4 linked regions of the Drosophila melanogaster genome follow. The protein of the gene in region 4 interacts with the protein of the main gene of each other region in a pairwise test. Each region holds a gene or a part of one and is shown on either strand. Other genes may lie near its edges.

Evidence for each region.
Region 1: the proteins of sxc (region 4) and COX4 interact in a two-hybrid assay, tested with the Drosophila melanogaster proteins (one large-scale study listed by BioGRID).
Region 2: the proteins of sxc (region 4) and ari-2 interact in a two-hybrid assay, tested with the Drosophila melanogaster proteins (one large-scale study listed by BioGRID).
Region 3: the proteins of sxc (region 4) and CG34324 interact in a two-hybrid assay, tested with the Drosophila melanogaster proteins (one large-scale study listed by BioGRID).

The regions. Positions count from the first base shown.
Region 1 is NT_033779.5:19,956,708-19,960,585, forward strand, and holds COX4 (cytochrome c oxidase subunit 4), read left to right. Parts: upstream 1-2,005; 5' UTR 2,006-2,061; intron 2,062-2,124; exon of another isoform or gene 2,125-2,559; 5' UTR 2,560-2,572; coding exon 2,573-2,984; intron 2,985-3,043; coding exon 3,044-3,180; 3' UTR 3,181-3,358; downstream 3,359-3,878. Other genes in the region: sick (sickie), read left to right, coding at 1-19, 85-564, 626-745; CG34051 (uncharacterized protein), read right to left, coding at 3,457-3,643, 3,698-3,878.
Region 2 is NT_033778.4:22,211,262-22,217,785, forward strand, and holds ari-2 (ariadne 2), read left to right. Parts: upstream 1-1,573; 5' UTR 1,574-2,179; coding exon 2,180-2,258; intron 2,259-3,620; coding exon 3,621-4,924; intron 4,925-4,984; coding exon 4,985-5,131; 3' UTR 5,132-6,003; downstream 6,004-6,524. Other genes in the region: CG11291 (uncharacterized protein), read left to right, coding at 180-922, 977-1,160; CG30278 (uncharacterized protein), read right to left, coding at 6,257-6,524.
Region 3 is NC_004354.4:13,455,992-13,459,267, forward strand, and holds CG34324 (uncharacterized protein), read right to left. Parts: upstream 1,673-3,276; 5' UTR 1,621-1,672; coding exon 1,611-1,620; intron 1,516-1,610; coding exon 722-1,515; 3' UTR 543-721; downstream 1-542.
Region 4 is NT_033778.4:5,305,748-5,310,323, reverse strand, and holds the start of sxc (super sex combs), read right to left. Parts: upstream 3,037-4,576; 5' UTR 2,826-3,036; coding exon 2,672-2,825; intron 1-2,671.

The sequences.
Region 1 (3,878 bases), on a different chromosome or scaffold from region 4:
GCACCACAATTTCCGATGGGTATGTTTTGATGATGGACCTTACAAATTGGATCATTACATATTTGCTTTATCACTTGCTCACAGGTGCTCACAGCTAATCACATGGAGCCCGTGAAAGGCTTTCTGGGTCGCTTCCTGAGGCGTCGACTCTTCCAGCTGGAACTGCAGACGCAACATCCGCAGCCGGAGCTGGCGGCAGTGCTGGCCTGGTTGCCCTCCGTTTGGCAGCACATCAACCGATTCCTGGAGGTGCACAGCTCCAGTGATGTAACCATTGGGCCGAGGCTATTCCTCGCCTGCCCAATGGACCTGAAGGACTCGCAGGTGTGGTTCACCGACATCTGGAACTACCACCTCTCGCCATACTTGGTGGAGGCGGTGCGCGAGGGAGTTCAGCTCTATGGACGACGAGGAGGTGCCTGGAACGACCCCTCCGCCTTCATTAGGAACTCCTATCCGTGGCCATACGGTCCGGACTCAGTGCCTCCACTACGGCAAATCAATGCCGAGGATGTGGGACTCGAAGGCGTGGCCCTAACCAACGGTGACCAACAGGATCCCTTGGTAAGATACAGGACTAATATTGCTCCTTTGATTTTCAACTAATGAGGCGTTTCGTCAACAGCTCAACATGCTGATGCGCCTGCAGGAGGCGGCCAACTACTCGGAGGCCCAGGATCAGGAGTCCGATTGTGCCAGCCTGGACTCGAATGTTACGCCCGAAAGTTCCGCTGGAGCCGAGTGAACAGCTATAGAAACCAACCACTTCGTACATGCCAAATTTAGATGAACTAACTGAGAGGAGTACGCCAGCTGAGGGTCCAAGATATGCACCCAAGATATCCTTGCCCCCGCACAAATGAGACTTCTTGCACTACTTTCGCAGCGAGGTTCAAAAGCAGTTCCAAGAGTTTTCCATTTGCACCACGTCACCAACCTTTCCAATCATCGTTTCTAGCCACTCCCTGCCATCTAGAGTAAATTGCACTTTTTAGCGCACTTGTTAAAAATGCAAATTGTCCTAGCCACAAACTGAACCTGATAACGAAGCACTACCATCCCAAAAAGCAAGGACCCCGGCTGCGTTTCCGAAAAACCCAAATCTTGAGAAAAGGAAACTTCACTAACATGAAATGTTACAGAGATAAGACGAGTGAATTCATTTTTGTACATATAGATGAAAACTAACCCCAAGTCCCCCCTATGCTTAAGTGTGAATCTGACCGACGGTCTAGACTTTTTATACCCTTTATCCCAGCCCAGAGTCGGCGGATCATATGAATTAAATCGCAACTAATACCTAACTCTACTGTAAATGTAGCTATAAGTTTTTGCTACTACCAATTTACAAGATGTATAGTTGAAGGAAAAAGCTTTCACTTTAGTTTAATTATTTGCGTAATTATCATTAAATATTGTTACAAACATATTGCATATTTATAAAGCCCAATAAAGCAAAATACCATTAACATATTTATTATGCCAAGCGGCGCTTAAACACAGGAATACGCGAAAGTGAATACGTAATGCCCCATCCTCGATAAAATAGCTAAATTTCCGAACTCCAGATCCCTATCGAAAGATAATCTTATGTAATACAAACTCAAGCAGCAAACTATATGATACGATAAAGCAAATTATGTGTCTCTGTCTAATTTAAATGTGTGCATTTATGAGATATGACATCAAATCAAAATAAAATATAATATCGAACAATAATTGTTTTGTTGTTGTTTCTCTTCTCGCGGACAGACTACAAAAAGAATGTGAAATACCAAACCAAATATTTCACCATGCTGCGAAATAAAATAAAACATAATAGTTGCCCTTATTTGCTGTTTCTTTATTTTAATATATTTAGATTTAAATACCCCGCCGAATTCCGATTGCTAGCGATTGAATATATCGATATATTAATATTTATATTTTTTCATTCGAGATGTGGTCACACTTCTCTGCATGAAAATACCAAAATATCGAGCAATAATTACCCATCCATATATATATTTTGTTTTGTATATTCCCTCTGGTCACATTGTTCAGCAAGTCTAAGAAAAGTAGGTAAAAGTGCTTTAAAAATTGTATTAATTGCGAAAAATATCAAGTACCTGCGACCACAAAGCTATTGAATACAACGAGCGGGATAAGCAAGCCGACATAAATTGGAAAACCAGTTGCCACCGGTTTATAAGCCGTTTTCCGGTAGATGCAACCGCCCACCGATTACACAACATCTGTGATGGCTGTGAAAAATGGGAGAATTATGCGGATATTATGCCAAACACAGCACGAAATCGGGATAAATATATGGCGACAGGCGTAGAGGAACCTCAAAACAATGCGATTTTTATGGAAATAGATTCTATAACTTGGCACGTAGTTCTGCTAGCTGTTACATAACCTCCAACTAAGTGGGCACCATATATCGGTGAATTCGTAACCCGTTAGAATTCACGGATGACCGCCTGGTCGGGTGGGAAATTTGGCTATCGCGGGTCCAAGACCCTATGTTCCTCTGCTGATACCTCATAAATTGATATTCATTTTACTACCTTGCAGACTCTGTGAGAAAATGGCCCTGCGACTACTCAACAGTGCTGTGCTCCGCCAGCTGGCCTCTCAGCTGCCCAAGAGTGCCCAGGTGGGCAGCGTGGCCGCCGTCCACACACTGGACAAGATCGGCAAGCGGGAGATCGTTGGCTACGGCTGGAACGGCACCGCCTGCTACGCGGATCGCGTGGACTACCCTCTGCCCGCCGTGCGCTTCCGTGAGCCCACCAACGAGATCAACGCTCTGCGCGCCAAGGAGCAGGGAGACTGGAAGAAGCTCAGCACCCAGGAGATCAAGGCCCTGTACCGCGCCAGCTTCTGCCAGACTATCGCCGAGGTCCAGGCTGGATCCGGGGAGTGGAAGCTCCACCTGGGCGTTTCACTCCTCTTCTGCGCCGCCGCCATCTGGGTGGCCGTACTGATGAACATCTTCGGTAAGCCATTTTTCCGGTTCCCTTTTGCGGCTATCCATTATTGAGCATTTTCCTTTCAGTGTACGATGAGCTGCCCGTTACCTTCGATGAGGAGCACCAGAAGGCGCAGCTGCAGCGCATCATCGACCTGGAAATCAACCCCGTCACCGGATTGACCTCCAAGTGGGACTACGAGAACAAGAAGTGGAAGAACTAAGTGCGCTGTCGTTAAATAATTCCGCGATTGTGTGTGATTAAGTTAGCCGACGTCTATGTGTATTAAGTAAAAGCAAGATAGTCGAAATTAAAGTTATGGCTGCTGCCTAAATCAATCGATCTTGGGTCAGTCATCAGTTTCTGCTAGGAAACCAGCCTCAATGATCCGTTTTAAGAGCAATGATTGTTATTCGATTTATTAACAGACCTTTTAGTGTGTAGATTACAAACTTTTCGTTACTAAAATCGCCACAGGCATAGCCAATTTAATTACCACTTAGTGAGACCTTTTAGCACTCTTATGTCTCATGTTCCGGCTGTTCGATTTTTGAACCTCATGAACAAGGATCTGCAAGGCTTCCAAGGCATTTGTGTTCTTGGCAAATTCCCTTTCAAACATGCGGCCGAATCTTAAGATCAATGGTTTCAGTTCCGGCGTTATCATTGCTTTCTCTTTTTCGGTCCTAAAAAGGCGGATTTCAAAGGCATTGCCAGACATATAGGCGAACACTACTTACACAGCTCCCTTTTTTATCACCTCTTTCAGGATCTGGACAACCGTTTGAATGTCCCCAAATAATCTGTACTTGTCTTTGGTAGAAATTTCACCGTCAAAGAATAACTTCAGTTCGTTGTCAGTTATATTCTTCTTTCGACCCCATTCCTCCAGCTCTGCCGTCTCTTTTTGGTAGGCGCTCC
Region 2 (6,524 bases), about 17 Mb from region 4:
TAGAAAGAAAACATTTTTATATAGTATCACTTTACTTTTGCCAAATAAACTTTTTCGTATTCCTTGCTATTTTATGATACTCTTATATGGCAATATGAAATTTTTAATCTTTGAAAATAATGTCATAAAGTACTCAAAATTTTAATATTTCACATTCTAAATTTAATCAAAATTGTATTATGTTAAGGCGCAGTCTAAGCCATCTGGACAAGCTGCCGAAGGCAAAGGTGGCCGAATGGCTGGCCGGGATCGACACCATTATTTGCAGCACGGATGGGGTGCTGTGGCAGGAGAATACCCCCATTGAGGGCTCTGTAGAGGCATTCAATGCCATAATTTCAAAGGGAAAGCGATGTCTCATAGCCACCAACGAGTGCTGCCTAACAAACAAGGATCTGTTCCAGAAGGCCAAGTGCCTGGGCTTCAATGTCAAGGAGCAGGACATTTTCAGCTCGTCGGGTGCCATTGCGAGTTACCTTAGCGACCGGAAGTTTAAGAAGAAAATCCTCGTTTTGGGTGGTGACGGTATCCGCAAAGATCTGAAAGAGGCCGGATTCTGTTCCGTGGTAAACGATCTGCAGCCAAATGACCAGAAAAAAATCGACTTCGTCAGGAGCTTAGTTCTCGATCCGGATGTGGGAGCTGTTTTGGTGGCCAGAGACGACAACATGATAGCGAACGAGTTGCTTGTGGCCTGCAACTATCTTCAAAATCCCAAAGTCTTGTTCCTTACCACTTGCATTGATGGATTCCAGCCATTTGGGAAAAAGAGGATCCCAGATGCCGGATCTCTGGCCTCTGCCATCGAGATAATTGTACAACGCAAGCCTATCGTTTTGGGCAAACCGAATCAGCGGATTTTGGGCAAGTTGATGAAGTCTGGCGAAATAAAGCCCGAAAAGACGCTTGTCATTGGAAACTCGTAAGTTCAATGATTACTTTTATTGAGGATCATACTTTATCCTCTTTCCTTTAGGCTTAAATCAGACATTTTATTTGCAAGTATATGTGGTTTCCAATCATTATTGGTGGGCTGCGATAACGGAGCGATCGAAAAAGCCGAGAAAATTAAAAAAGAGGGAGATGAGAAGAAAATGAAACTTGTTCCAGATGCTTTTCTCTCCGGTCTTGCTTCTTTTGGGGAGTATTTATGCATCTAGGTGATGTCGGGCAAGAAAAGCGATTTCCATATCCAAAAAACATACCCAGCTGACCAAAAAGTAATTTAGATCATATTCAAAATTCAAACTAAGCCGCTCAAAAGCTGAACAGCTGTTTTGTTTCTGAGCACTCCTGTGTGCTAAATGATTTCGGTATTTTGGCTTTTAGCACAAGTCGCGAGTCAGTGCTACCAGTATATTTGTAAATTTTTAGTTTTAAAATTTGTAATCTAAAATAGTAAAGCAAATTGCCAGTTTTCTGTTGAAACTAATAGTTTTGCATCAATAATCGCGAAGAAAAAGTTGAATTAATGTGATAATAAAAAAATACATGTTGTTGGTATATTTTTGGTATTTGATTTGATTGCTTCGTGGTCGCACTGAAAGAAGAAGAGTAATAAAACATCGAACTATCGAAGAACGATATGCCCCGATAGGTTCGGACAAGACAAAGAACAAAATGTTCTCTGCAAAAGCTGTGCTCGCTTAAAAACGCAAAAAGTCAGTGCATCTAGTGCATTGTCAGTGGTGCATAAGATTGTTCTATAAATAGCGAAAAATGAAAATAAACTGCAGGCGAAGTAGAAAAAACACCTTGAGTTGAGTGCAACGGCTGTGCGAGTGTGTGTGCGTGAGAGCGAGAGTGCGCTCGTGTGTGTGTGTACACATGCATGTTGATAAACGAAAATAAAACAAGGGACCGCCCCCCGCCGTAGAATAGCCACCCCGCAAAGTTCATCACCCTAACCAGAATCGGTGGCACTGCATCGCGCTAAATCGGCCACTTTCCATTATCCGCATCCACCGCCCCTCCCGCTCTCTGGGTCCATCATCCACCTCCTGCGAAAACAACAACAGCAACCACCAGCGCCCTTACAACAACTGTTACAAAAGAGCAAGAGAGAAGACACCCCGCACTCACACTCACACGGAAGCAGTGAGTGTCCTCGCCAGAAACTCGAATTCCCAACCAAACATCCCGAATCTGAGGCCCAAATCTTAAGCGCCAATCCGCCGGAATGGACTCGGACATCGAAATGGATATGGAATCGGACAACGACGGGGAGTACGACGACGACTACGACTACTACAACACAGGTAAGTGGAAACTAGTACCTGATCTAGAGGGGCACTTCCCCCTGACAACAATCGGCCATCGATTTAACTGTGGCCAAATTAGGGGTACGAGTGTATCTGTGAGGAAGTACACACACACATGTCGGGCTCTTGGTTTGGTTATTCACCTTTTCGGAAGGAGGCCCGCAAGACCTGGGAATTTGCATTCAGCACTTGACATTCGCCTTGGGTTCCATGACCAAACCCCACACCCCCCATTTGATCTCCGCCCTTCTTCGCTGACCATGAAGCTTAAATTATGGAATTGAACTTGAAACAAACACACACGCACGTAGCTGCACGGCGAGAAAATTGCACTGTGTAATAGGATAAATGTTTAGTTTTAAAATGTCAAATCTAGGCCAAACTAAATGATTACATTTGGTACATTTCCCAAAGCAATTCTAATGATGATTTGATACCTCAATTTAGAGAATTATGTGATAGGGCTTGATTTTCAAATGGTTTTATAACATGAACTCAAATCAATATTGATTTAAAAGGGGCAAAATAATATAAGAATATTACTAAAGACTTGATTTCTCTCAGTGCATGGGCAAGTACAATTGGTAGTTGCGAGTTGGGACTGATTGCGAGGCTTGTGTTTTGTGGCTGGCTTCATTATTGCCCGCCACTCTGCTCACGCTCTTCGTAGCTCCACAACCCACACAAGCACACATTAACACACACACCACGAACACCAGCTCAGGTGCGTGCTCAAGTACGCAGTTGCATTCTGTTGTGTGCCGCTGTTCCGTCAACTCGGTCTCCGCTTCTTGACCTGTCCCTTATTGTTCCGACCTGGCCAAGACGCCCCCTAACTCAACCTTCAATCGGATACCTCATATCGGTAACATCGTAACGTCGAGCACTTCTATGGCAGCCTTGTCGCGCGGTTGTTTTCTCGAATTAGCCAATGTGACTAACAAAATGCAAACATGATTACCGGCTGCATACACTGTAATCCCTTTTGATCCATACATGTCAGATTAACATAGAAGATATTCCCAAAGTAATAATGTTTCGTCGGTTTCAACCGATCAATGTAAGTCAGCCATTGCTTAACTTACAAACTCAACTCAACCTTCGTAACTCTGGAACCAGTTTTGTACAATAAGGGATTAAAAGTGCCCTATTGTATATAACTGCAACTGCTAACTCAGGGTTCGTTTGAAATCCACCCTTGCTGTCTTTCAGTCTGATTTTGGTTTAAAATACAATCAGTTAGCTTAAATAACCAAAAGAAAAAGTGGAAACTGTCCTATCAAAGCATAATAGATTTATGATTTATAAATGTTATAAAGTTCAATTATATTATAATACTAATATCCTTTTCTTCTTCAGGCGAGGACTGCGATGTGGAGCGTCTGGATCCGAAGCGGGCCGACCCGGAGTACTTTGAGTACGAGTGCCTAACCGTCGAGGACATCGAGAAGCTGCTGAACGAGCGCGTGGAGAAGCTGAACACCATCCTGCAGATCACACCCTCGCTGGCCAAGGTGCTGCTGCTGGAGCACCAGTGGAACAATGTGGCCGTCGTTGAAAAGTACCGCCAGGACGCCAATGCACTGCTGGTGACGGCGCGAATCAAGCCGCCATCGGTGGCAGTGACGGATACGGCTTCGACGAGTGCAGCGGCGGCCAGTGCCCAACTGCTCCGACTGGGGAGCAGCGGGTACAAGACGACGGCATCGGCGACACCACAGTACCGCAGCCAGATGTGTCCCGTTTGTGCCAGCTCGCAGCTGGGCGACAAGTTCTACAGCCTGGCGTGTGGGCACTCGTTTTGCAAGGACTGCTGGACCATATACTTCGAGACGCAGATCTTCCAGGGAATCTCCACGCAGATCGGCTGCATGGCCCAGATGTGTAATGTTAGGGTGCCCGAGGACTTGGTGCTGACGCTGGTCACGCGACCCGTTATGCGGGACAAGTACCAGCAGTTTGCATTTAAGGACTACGTCAAGTCACACCCGGAACTCCGCTTCTGTCCCGGGCCCAACTGCCAGATTATTGTGCAATCATCGGAGATCTCCGCCAAACGTGCCATTTGCAAGGCTTGCCACACGGGCTTCTGCTTCCGGTGCGGCATGGACTACCACGCACCCACCGACTGCCAGGTGATCAAGAAGTGGCTGACCAAGTGCGCCGACGACAGCGAAACGGCAAACTACATCAGCGCCCACACCAAAGACTGCCCCAAGTGTCACATCTGCATTGAGAAGAACGGCGGCTGCAACCACATGCAGTGCTTCAACTGCAAGCACGACTTCTGCTGGATGTGCTTGGGCGACTGGAAGACGCACGGCTCCGAGTACTACGAGTGCTCTCGCTACAAGGACAACCCCAACATTGCCAACGAGTCGGTGCACGTGCAGGCGCGCGAGGCGCTGAAGAAGTACCTGCACTACTACGAGCGCTGGGAGAACCACTCCAAGTCTCTGAAACTCGAGCAACAGACGATCGACCGGCTGCGCCAGCGGATCAACTCGAAGGTGATGAACGGCAGCGGCACCTGGATCGACTGGCAATACCTCTTCAACGCGGCGGCACTGCTGGCCAAGTGTCGATACACGCTGCAGTACACCTATCCGTACGCCTATTACATGGAGGCCGGTTCGCGAAAGAATCTCTTTGAGTACCAGCAGGTGAGTCGCAGTTCGGCTATTCTTTAACTGGTTGCCCAATAATGTATTAATTCCGTGCAGGCACAACTGGAGGCCGAAATCGAGAATCTGTCGTGGAAGATAGAGCGCGCCGAGACAACGGACCTGGGTGATCTCGAGAATCAAATGGACATCGCTGAAAAGCGCCGCACCACGCTACTGAAAGACTTCTTCCCAGTGGACGCATAGGCAACCGTCGAGCTTCCAGGGCCACCAGAACGGACAGCCTGTCTTGTTTAGCACAAACACTCTTTGATTGACTGCTGACAGGTCGACGTGACGCGACAGTATAGAGACGCTTATTTAAATTAAATTATACACATATTTACATGTATCCATCTAGTAGTAGGCCCAACGACGTGTAGCTAATTTTTAAATTAAACTAATAATCAAGTGCATATAGACTAGAAAACGTAGCATAGAGCATAGTCGACTACTCGAAGTATAATTACTATAGTTGTGACATTCGAAATCACTCAAAATGATCGGTGTAACTGCAATACAACGCCTTGCGCAGAACGTTAACGATATACAGTATCTATAGCTAAAGCCCTAGCGATACCGATACCGGTAGCTATACCATAACTATAAAACTAACTTTAAATCTAGCAACTGACTAACTGACAAACCAGACGCATTTCAGTGGCCAAGTGTTCCAACAGTTTTCCAAAAACTAGCCCAAACGACCCGATGAAATGCAGAAACAGTAACAATTCTAAATGTATAGCGCCGCAAGTCAAGCAATTATAGATCAAAGACCGCCTAAGCAGATCGGCTCATCGGTTAGACCCTAAGTTTTAAACCTTGTATTAGCCCCGCGTGAACAGCATCAAGTATTCGCAATCTGTATCTCGTAACTAATCGCAGCACATCAATCGAACGCAAAAGTCTTAAGTAAGAACGAAGATAGATACTCCCCGTCCCCGATCCCGTTCCTTTTGATTCTCACTCGATTCTCGATTAACTTTGTAAGCTGAATCATAAATTATATTCTAGGATTACGCTATGTATGTATGCTTATGCGACTGAATTTGAATTAAATTTACACTAGATATACAACTATTCAACTGACTTTTCGACTGTGGGCTGCAAGCTTACGATTTGGGTCTTGTGCTTAAAGCTTTGGAGAAGCTCATACGAAGCTTGGATTGAGTGTTTTAAGGATAAGCTTTCACTCAAGTTTCAAGTTTGGGTTTTGAGCCGAGTTTATTTTTTTTAGTGATTGAGTACGAGCTATATTCCAACTTATCTTCCTTGATTTCGTTGTTATTCAGATTGGATGTGCTTAGTTAGTCTTCGATGATGTTTTTGCTATTATTTTTTACCCTTTTTATTGCCGAACAGTGAACTCTTTCTGCTGCTCTTCCGGCTCTTTCGGCTCTTCCGGCTCTTCCTGCTCATCCGACTCATCCTAACATCAGGCGCCAAAGGTGGTTTCTGCTTCGCAAGTTGGCTGGCTAAGGTGAACAACCGGCACTCGGAATGCTCCTTCAGCAGACTGTTGGCGAACTTCTTGACTCCCGATATCTTGGTCACCCTCACGTTGTTCATATTTTCCACTTTCTTGGCGGGATAGACCTCC
Region 3 (3,276 bases), on a different chromosome or scaffold from region 4:
AGGCTCGGCGGTGGTATGTGGCAGGATATAATAAATAGCCTGACATAGTAATGCCACACAGACACTAACTCACAAATGTCGCACTGTTATTGCTGTTGTTGTTGGCCCTTCCAGTCCTCGACCGAAAAGTTGACGCCTATAAAACGGATATGGATGTGCACCAAACTGTGGCATACTTTTCTGACCCCCACCCGACCGAGTGGCACTACCACCATCCACTACCACTTCCACTCGCAGTCGATGTCGCTCCAAAAGTGTTGACAAATTTATGAGCTTGTTTTGCTTTTTCGCAATTTTTGTTCGGCTGATTGAAAGTTTTCTTTATTTTGCCTCCGGGCAAATTGATGACAATTGGAGAGCGGGCCAGACAGCTTAATCGTTCGTGTTCTATATTTAGCTATATATTAATAAAGGCTTTGATTGATTTCGAAAGTAAATCAAAGGGCCGACACAGCTGCATAGTTCAAATTGATCAAAGTAACCCTGTGCTGGCAATATTCGGTCACACTGTTTTGCACGCAACTAATGTTCAACTCAAATATGAATGCTCACTCTTATTTATTGTATAATCGGTGAAATATTTACTTTATTGCTTTGGCATAGTTTACAATTAATTCACACTTGCTTTGCTTCTATGTTCTTTGAAATAGTGAAAAAAAAAAAAATTCTTTAAAGCCAATTTGCTTTGCTTGTGCGCATGGCCACATTGGCAGCAGCAACATCAGTTGCGCCTGGCGTCACAGTTGTTGACGGTACTGGCCAGTCGGCAGGCCTTCAGCTCGCGATCGAACCAGTAGCCGTTGGGGCAGTTCTGGCGCTTCGACCTCTGACGGTTGCACACGTAGTAGCGGCGACAGTGACGCACGTCGGCGAGGAAGGTTCCGTCCTCCTGGCCACGGCAATCGTGGCGCGAGATCAGCACCTGGGCAATAGCAACTGGATTGTCTATATCGGGCTGTTCTTCATTTCCGTCGACAATTGGCCCAGCGTTGTCGCTCTTGGGTGTTGTGCAAACGGTTGTGGTGCAGGGCTTGGTGGTGGTGCACGGTGGGGTGCAGGGAGGAGTGGTGGTGCATGGAGGTGTCCTGGTGCAGGGGGGTGGTGTCCTGGTGCATGGAGGAGGTGTCCTGGTGCATGGAGGTGGTGTCCTGGTGCATGGAGGTGGTGTCCTGGTGCATGGAGGTGGTGTCCTGGTGCACGGTGGTGGTGGTGGTGGTGGTGGAGGTGGTGGTGGTGGTGGGCACGTTGTAGTAATGCACGGAGGTGGTGGTGGTGGGCATGTTGTTGTGGTGCACGGTGGTGGTTCTGGTGGTGGGCATGTTGTTGTGGTGCACGGTGGTGGTTCTGGTGGTGGACATGTTGTTGTGGTGCACGGCGGTGGTGGTGGGCATGTTGTTGTTGTGCACGGATCCGGGGGAGGAGTACACGGTGGGGTATCGGCTCTAGGCGGATGTGCCAAAGCCTCATGACCGCCGGCGATAGTCGCCAAAACTAATCCAATCAGCAGCAAGTGGTCTAGGATAAAGCACAAAAAAAAAAAAAATAAAAATAAGAAGAAACTCCTTGTTTTTTTTTTTTTTTATGGAGGATCTTGGATCGGAGCTACCCACAAACTCTCATGTTGCGTTCGATAATGCCTCTGCAGTTTCAACTTCTCTGCTGGTTAGCGAATGATGTTAGCTGCACTCGGGGCTCTTTTTATATCGCCCAGTTGCAGATTTTATCTGGCTGTGGAACAGGGAAAGCACTTGAGATCTGTTGAGTGGTACATGGTCCATGATCCCCGAGGTTCTCGGCACTCTGCTAATTAACCAAAATTGGTCTGGTTGTAGGTTTTGGGGTATCGTGTTTTGTTCATGTAAGCAAAATGTTTTGTTTTTTACTTCGCAGTTGTTTTATTTTTTGCTGTAATATAATACTTATTCTTTGAGGGGAAAACAATCATGCTTAATGTTCGTTTTCAAATATATATTGTTACATATGTCATTTTTTAGACTTAATACTGTGTTTTTTTGAAAGAGTTTTCCCACAGTGATCTCCATTCGAACATACACTGATGGCATTGACATTTGGCCCGGTTCATTTGGCCATTCCGTACGCAATCTGTAAAATAGTTGAAATTGCCTGTTAACTGATTTCGCAGGCCCGGCCCCCCATTTGCTTTCTGTTCCTTTTTTTTTTTTTGGCAATTGCTTCTTGACTCCGGGCCAGTGCAAACAAGAGATTTCGGTTTATGGCCCCGGACCGGAAGTGTTAGGCCAAGTGGCCATGTGGCCAAGAGGCCATGTGGCCAAGAGCGGATGAGTGGACAAGTGTTGGCCATTTGGCAGTCGATAAAAATGGCAAAGAGCCTAAGGGGGCATCTGTGTGTGGGTATGCGTAATAATTTCGGCATGAAAACCTCCGCATTGCCACTTCCGCCCCTCGGAAAGTCCACCTTGCCTGCAGCGCGGTTGTGAAAACAAAAAACAAAAAGGACCACCATATCCCCGTGTGTCCCGCATATCCTGGACAGCTGGTGGTGTAGGGGGGGCGTTGAAAAGCGCTGGACAGTTGGCAAAAGTTTTGTAATTAAATATGGTTGTTGCAGTTAAGATTTATGAGCGATTTTTATACCAATCACCCAGTGATAGAGAAGTTTACTGGGCCAAGCGAACAGCGATTCATTTTAAAACAAATTCAAATGTAGCACCTATTTTTGTTTAGTATATCTATACATATTTTAATTATTTATTTTAAAAATCTGCTATTGAGCTTTCTCTTATTTATTCACAATTGAATCAAAGCATAGCAATATGACATGGTTTCAAATCTGTCCACATTCAGCTCCATCACGTGATATCCTTGATTTCACCACCCAATCGTGCCCTTTGAACCCTTGCACTGCGATCGTAAATAATTATTTATTTAAACAGTAGAATATTTCCAAACGGCATAAGCAAACAGAATCAATTGTTGTCGCATGGCGAATATTTATGCACGCATTTATATTCCGACATCTGTTTTCGGATTTCGGAGGTGCCCTTTTCAGACTCCTTTTTTTGTTTTACAATTTTTGAGTTGGGTATTGTTGAAGCTGCGAAATGATGTGCATTGGATTTTAATTTATATTCAAAGTGTGGGGAGTGCTTTACAGCCCGCATAAGCCCCGAAAACTTTCAATCGTTATGGTTCAATTGGATTGAGTTAAATTCACTTTGTTTCATTCACTTAGCACTCGTAAAGCTACACCCTCGCCAACAAACACGACTTGGCCATTTGCCGGGCAAAAATTAC
Region 4 (4,576 bases):
TCGCAAGCTAACATTTGAATGACTTCTGGTGGAAGAGATAGTCGCTTATGTTTTCGCCTCTTTAAATTTATTGATGATATTATGGGATCCGTAGTATCCATTGCTCTGTAAAAGACATCTGCGAAGCTACTAATAGTTTTTGCTTTGGCTGGGTTCAACAAAAGAATTTTAAGTATGGCTGCAAGATCCCGCAGGCAGCACTTCCGTACAGCTTGAACCAAAAGACATTCGTTGTGATTCTGCGCCCTTACGAGTTCATCTGCTTGCTGTCTTCGGCCACTCAAATTTTTTAAATAATATGACGTTTTCGGGAGTCCAGCTAATTTCCTTTCCTTTTTATTTTTCTCCTTTACCTTCAGGACTAGGTGTTCTTCTAACCAATTTGAAAAACTTTCAAAAATTCATTTATTTTTCGATTGCATTTTCTCCAATTTCGCAAAAGATTGACTGAAATCATTCGTTATTAATATTATTCGTTAATCGTTCATTAAAGTCTAGCTTGCTATCAGAAATATGCCCACTGATAAAAGTGCAAATAGAATTTTCCTTTTGACGAACAACCTTTTGCTTGCGCCACACTTCCAGCAGGGCAGCATTGGAAATCGAGATATTGCTCCCTAAAAAATGAAATTTCTCAAGAAACCGCAAAAAACGCACATAGAGACTACCTGATATGAGTTAGAAATTGAACACACTACAACATGGATATAAACACTTACTGAACAAATTTGAACAAATTGTTGTAGCTCTATTCAAAGTTTAAAATTTTTTCAAACAACTACATGTTGACACCACTTGCTAAATGTACAAATTGTTAGAAATAGGCGCACACAATAAACAATATATTAATAACAACACATAATAAAAACCTAAAGATTGATTATCTATTTCAAATTATACTCTCCTTCTTCTTCTTTTTAAATTTTAACACTTTGAAAGTTAAGCTAAATTTTGCGCGCAAAGCAGCCACGTGATATATGCTCGCAACAGCCGACTTTAACAGCTGTTATTATAACGGTGCATTGTAAAATTAACTTTTGCGGGCTGTATCATAACAGTTTAACGTATTTCCAATGTATTAATACTAAAATACTTCAAATTTGCATACTTGTGAAAAACACATTATTGTAAAAAAAACAGGCCAAATGCCCCATAGTGCTCTAGAGCCACATCGAATGGCGTTACGCATCTTGTTATTCTGGTGTCTTTGGCCGTACCCTTTGGTCGAGTTCCGCAACAGATTTTTAAATCAATAAAACATAGCAAGGCAAATAATAAAATGAAAACAAAACTTATTTTTAAACTTCCTTCTTCACACTGAATATTATTTCGTGCAATTATCAGAGGAAGTAATCTGTATAAGCTTCATACTTTAGAGAAGGCAACTAGATACTATGCTCAAGAGATAATTCCTCAGGTACAGCAAGGAAAGATGATTGAGACACACACTGAGAACTGCAGACACATGCATATGTATGCAGATTGAAATACAGGTATAGATCATACACATCCAGATTCAGGACTACCCTAAAATGGGCCGAGTCAATGAGTTTTCAAGATCTCTCACTACGCAGTCAATGATATTCTAGAAATAATACAGTTTAAACAAATTAGACTAGTGTTAAGCACTTCAATTGGTGCAGATTAACCAACGGATATGCAGGGTAACGAACCCTTGAAATTTCAAAGGACACATCCGAAGTTGTCTGCTGTAGTTTGTTCGTACAGTTTAGAGGTTTCAAACCAATAAGGTATTTCAGCACCGGATTCTTAAATTTGTTATATAAAAAAAAAGCAATTTTCTAATCGTTTTAGAAAACAAAAAGGTGTTTTTTATGCCGCAGCTTATTTTGTGCAGTATGTTAATATTCAATAAATGGCCATTTTAAACCTAACAATTTTTTAATTTTAATATCCGAGATTGATCCAACTTCGCGGAGAAGCGGAAGCTTCTCCCTAAAAGAAAATACTGTATTGAATGAAGGCCGAAAAGCACCGAAGAACTTTTCAATGAATACCAAATAATATATGTACATATATGTAATATATGTTGTCAAAAATTTAAAAAAGGAAAAACGTGCAAGCTACAGCAGAACGAAAAAAAATTTAAGTGCAAAGTAAGCTTTAAGCCAGAAAAAAAAAAAATTACAATAAAAAATTTAATTTTAGATGGAGTGAGAGATAACATTATAGACGAGTTTCTCGACTACCAGATACCCCTTACAAGATACGGCTTTAATGAGGGATGCACATTTAGAATACGGAAATCGTCTGTTTTTTAACCATGTCAATAATTCTTTCAAAAATATTGCGTTTACATTTTTCTGGTATCTTTCATCGAAGCAATGCCAACATAAAAATTAATTTAACTACACGAAATAAGCTCAGACACTGAACACTGATTTTTATGTTGTGTGAATTTTTAGATGCGTACACCATATGCATCTCTTAATATGTTGTTAATATGAGACACATTAGACACATATCTATCTCGGGCCAGGCATAACCAATTGTTTGATTTATTGATTTTTCTTAATTTAATTGTGGTTGTCTTCGCTGTCAAACTTATTCATTTGCATTAATGTATAAAGTATTTAACTAGATGTATTCTTTAAAAAAATCAATTACAAACGTATGTACATACATATATAAATGTATGGTTATTTCTTACCGACTGATGAAAGAGATTGAATGTCATTTTGTTTTACGACTAGGTTACTGCCTGTTGAATTCGGATTTTGATCTAATAATATATGGGCCGCGGACGGCAGTTGATGGCTCTGTCCTTGAGACTGCATATTTATTCGTGTTTGTTCAACATGCATTAAAATCCAACGTTGATAACATGTGTCTAAAATCAATAAGCCACCCTTAAGTAAAGACACTGTGATGTTGTTTACATGATTAAACCTTTAAGAAAGAGAATATCAGTAAAATATCAATATGAATTGCATTAAGTTATAAAAGCAACCTGATTTAATTATTTTCAAACATCCACTCAGCTGTTAATACGATTTACAAGAGAAAATCAAATATTTACATACTCAAATATTGAACACTGTGAACAGCAACTTAATAGCTTATACCCTATTCTTACGGCGGCAAAAACCATATTAACATAATATCAATGTTATACCAATGATATACCACATATAATTTCAAATGAAGAGAGAATGGTATTGTCGAGTCAATCAGATAACCGTTAGTCAGCTCGTGAAAATGGGAACACGAAATTCATTCATCATTTTTCTGGGATATCGTTAAATACTGGGATATAAAATAAGAACAAAATTGTTTCAAATTGATCAAAAGTTCGGTCTTGACCGGTTTGGAAGGTGTAAGAAGGGCCGTGGCCGCGAATTAATAGAAATTGTATACAAAAATCAAAAAATTTCAAAACATTTTGAAATTGTTAGCGTTAGAGTGGTCATGGCAAAATGTTTTCTGGCAAATTCATAGAAATTTAAAAGAAAATAAAAATATGAAAGAATAATAAAACATTTTACATAAGTGTAGACGTGGCAGTTTTGTCCGGTATGTGTGCGTTGGATTGCACATGGCAACATGGGTTAACAAACTTGCGCGGCGCCTATGTCTCTAGAATCACATATCACATACAGTTTGTCAAGAAACTGTTTACACACTGTAAAATAAGTTGAATTTTTGACTTTAAAGCTAAAAATAAAGGGTTTTTTGCTTAATTAAACGCAATTTTTTTTATAAAATATAATCAAACAATATTTATTTTACTTATAAATCAAAAAACAAATTAAAAATATTAAATATACAAGAAAATAAACAACAAATTCCAAGTTTACACGCTTTTAAGACTGTCAAGAAACTCTCTTTATTACAGTTGCGGTAACAATAATAGCATCATAAGCACATTTCGTGTTTGTCCCAGCTTTTCTCTATTTTCTGACACTTTCTCATTATTTTACTCACTAAACTTAAATACTACAATGATTTTCAATCGAAATAAAAAAATTAGTAACAGATCTCATGGATATTTTAAAAATAATTGGTAAAACAAAAAAAAAACCTTCAAATTTAGGCGGTAACAAACATAGCACTGTTTCTCGTAGTTTGCTTGGGATGCGATCGGGTGTGGTACCGTTTTGGTTTTAAGACTCCTCTCAGCCGCTAGGATCTCGGGCTCCGTGACAGGCCGCAATTCGTCTCCGCTTGGCCCGATCTGGGAATTGGGAATGGCAGACCGAACAGGAACAGAACGTTAAAGATGTTTTCCAGAGCAGATGGATCGCTTTCTGCTGCGACGCAGACTTTCAGAAAGCATTCACGATTGCTGGCTCTAATCGTTTTCTTCGGTGAATTCTTTGTGACCTTGTATTCCGTATGGCATGCTTCCAGACGCGTGGTGCCACGAGCTCTTTGTACGAGTCTCGTTGCGCGTAGGCTGATGATGCGCTGCAAGGCAATATCCTCGCTCCACCAGAAAACCAGGGTGTGGTGCCTTCGGTTCGTTTTCCTCATTCGCATGCTTTGGCCGCAGGCCTCCTCCACCCTCGCTACTATTTTATCCGCTGCTGCGATCACAAGTTCGCCTCGTTGACCG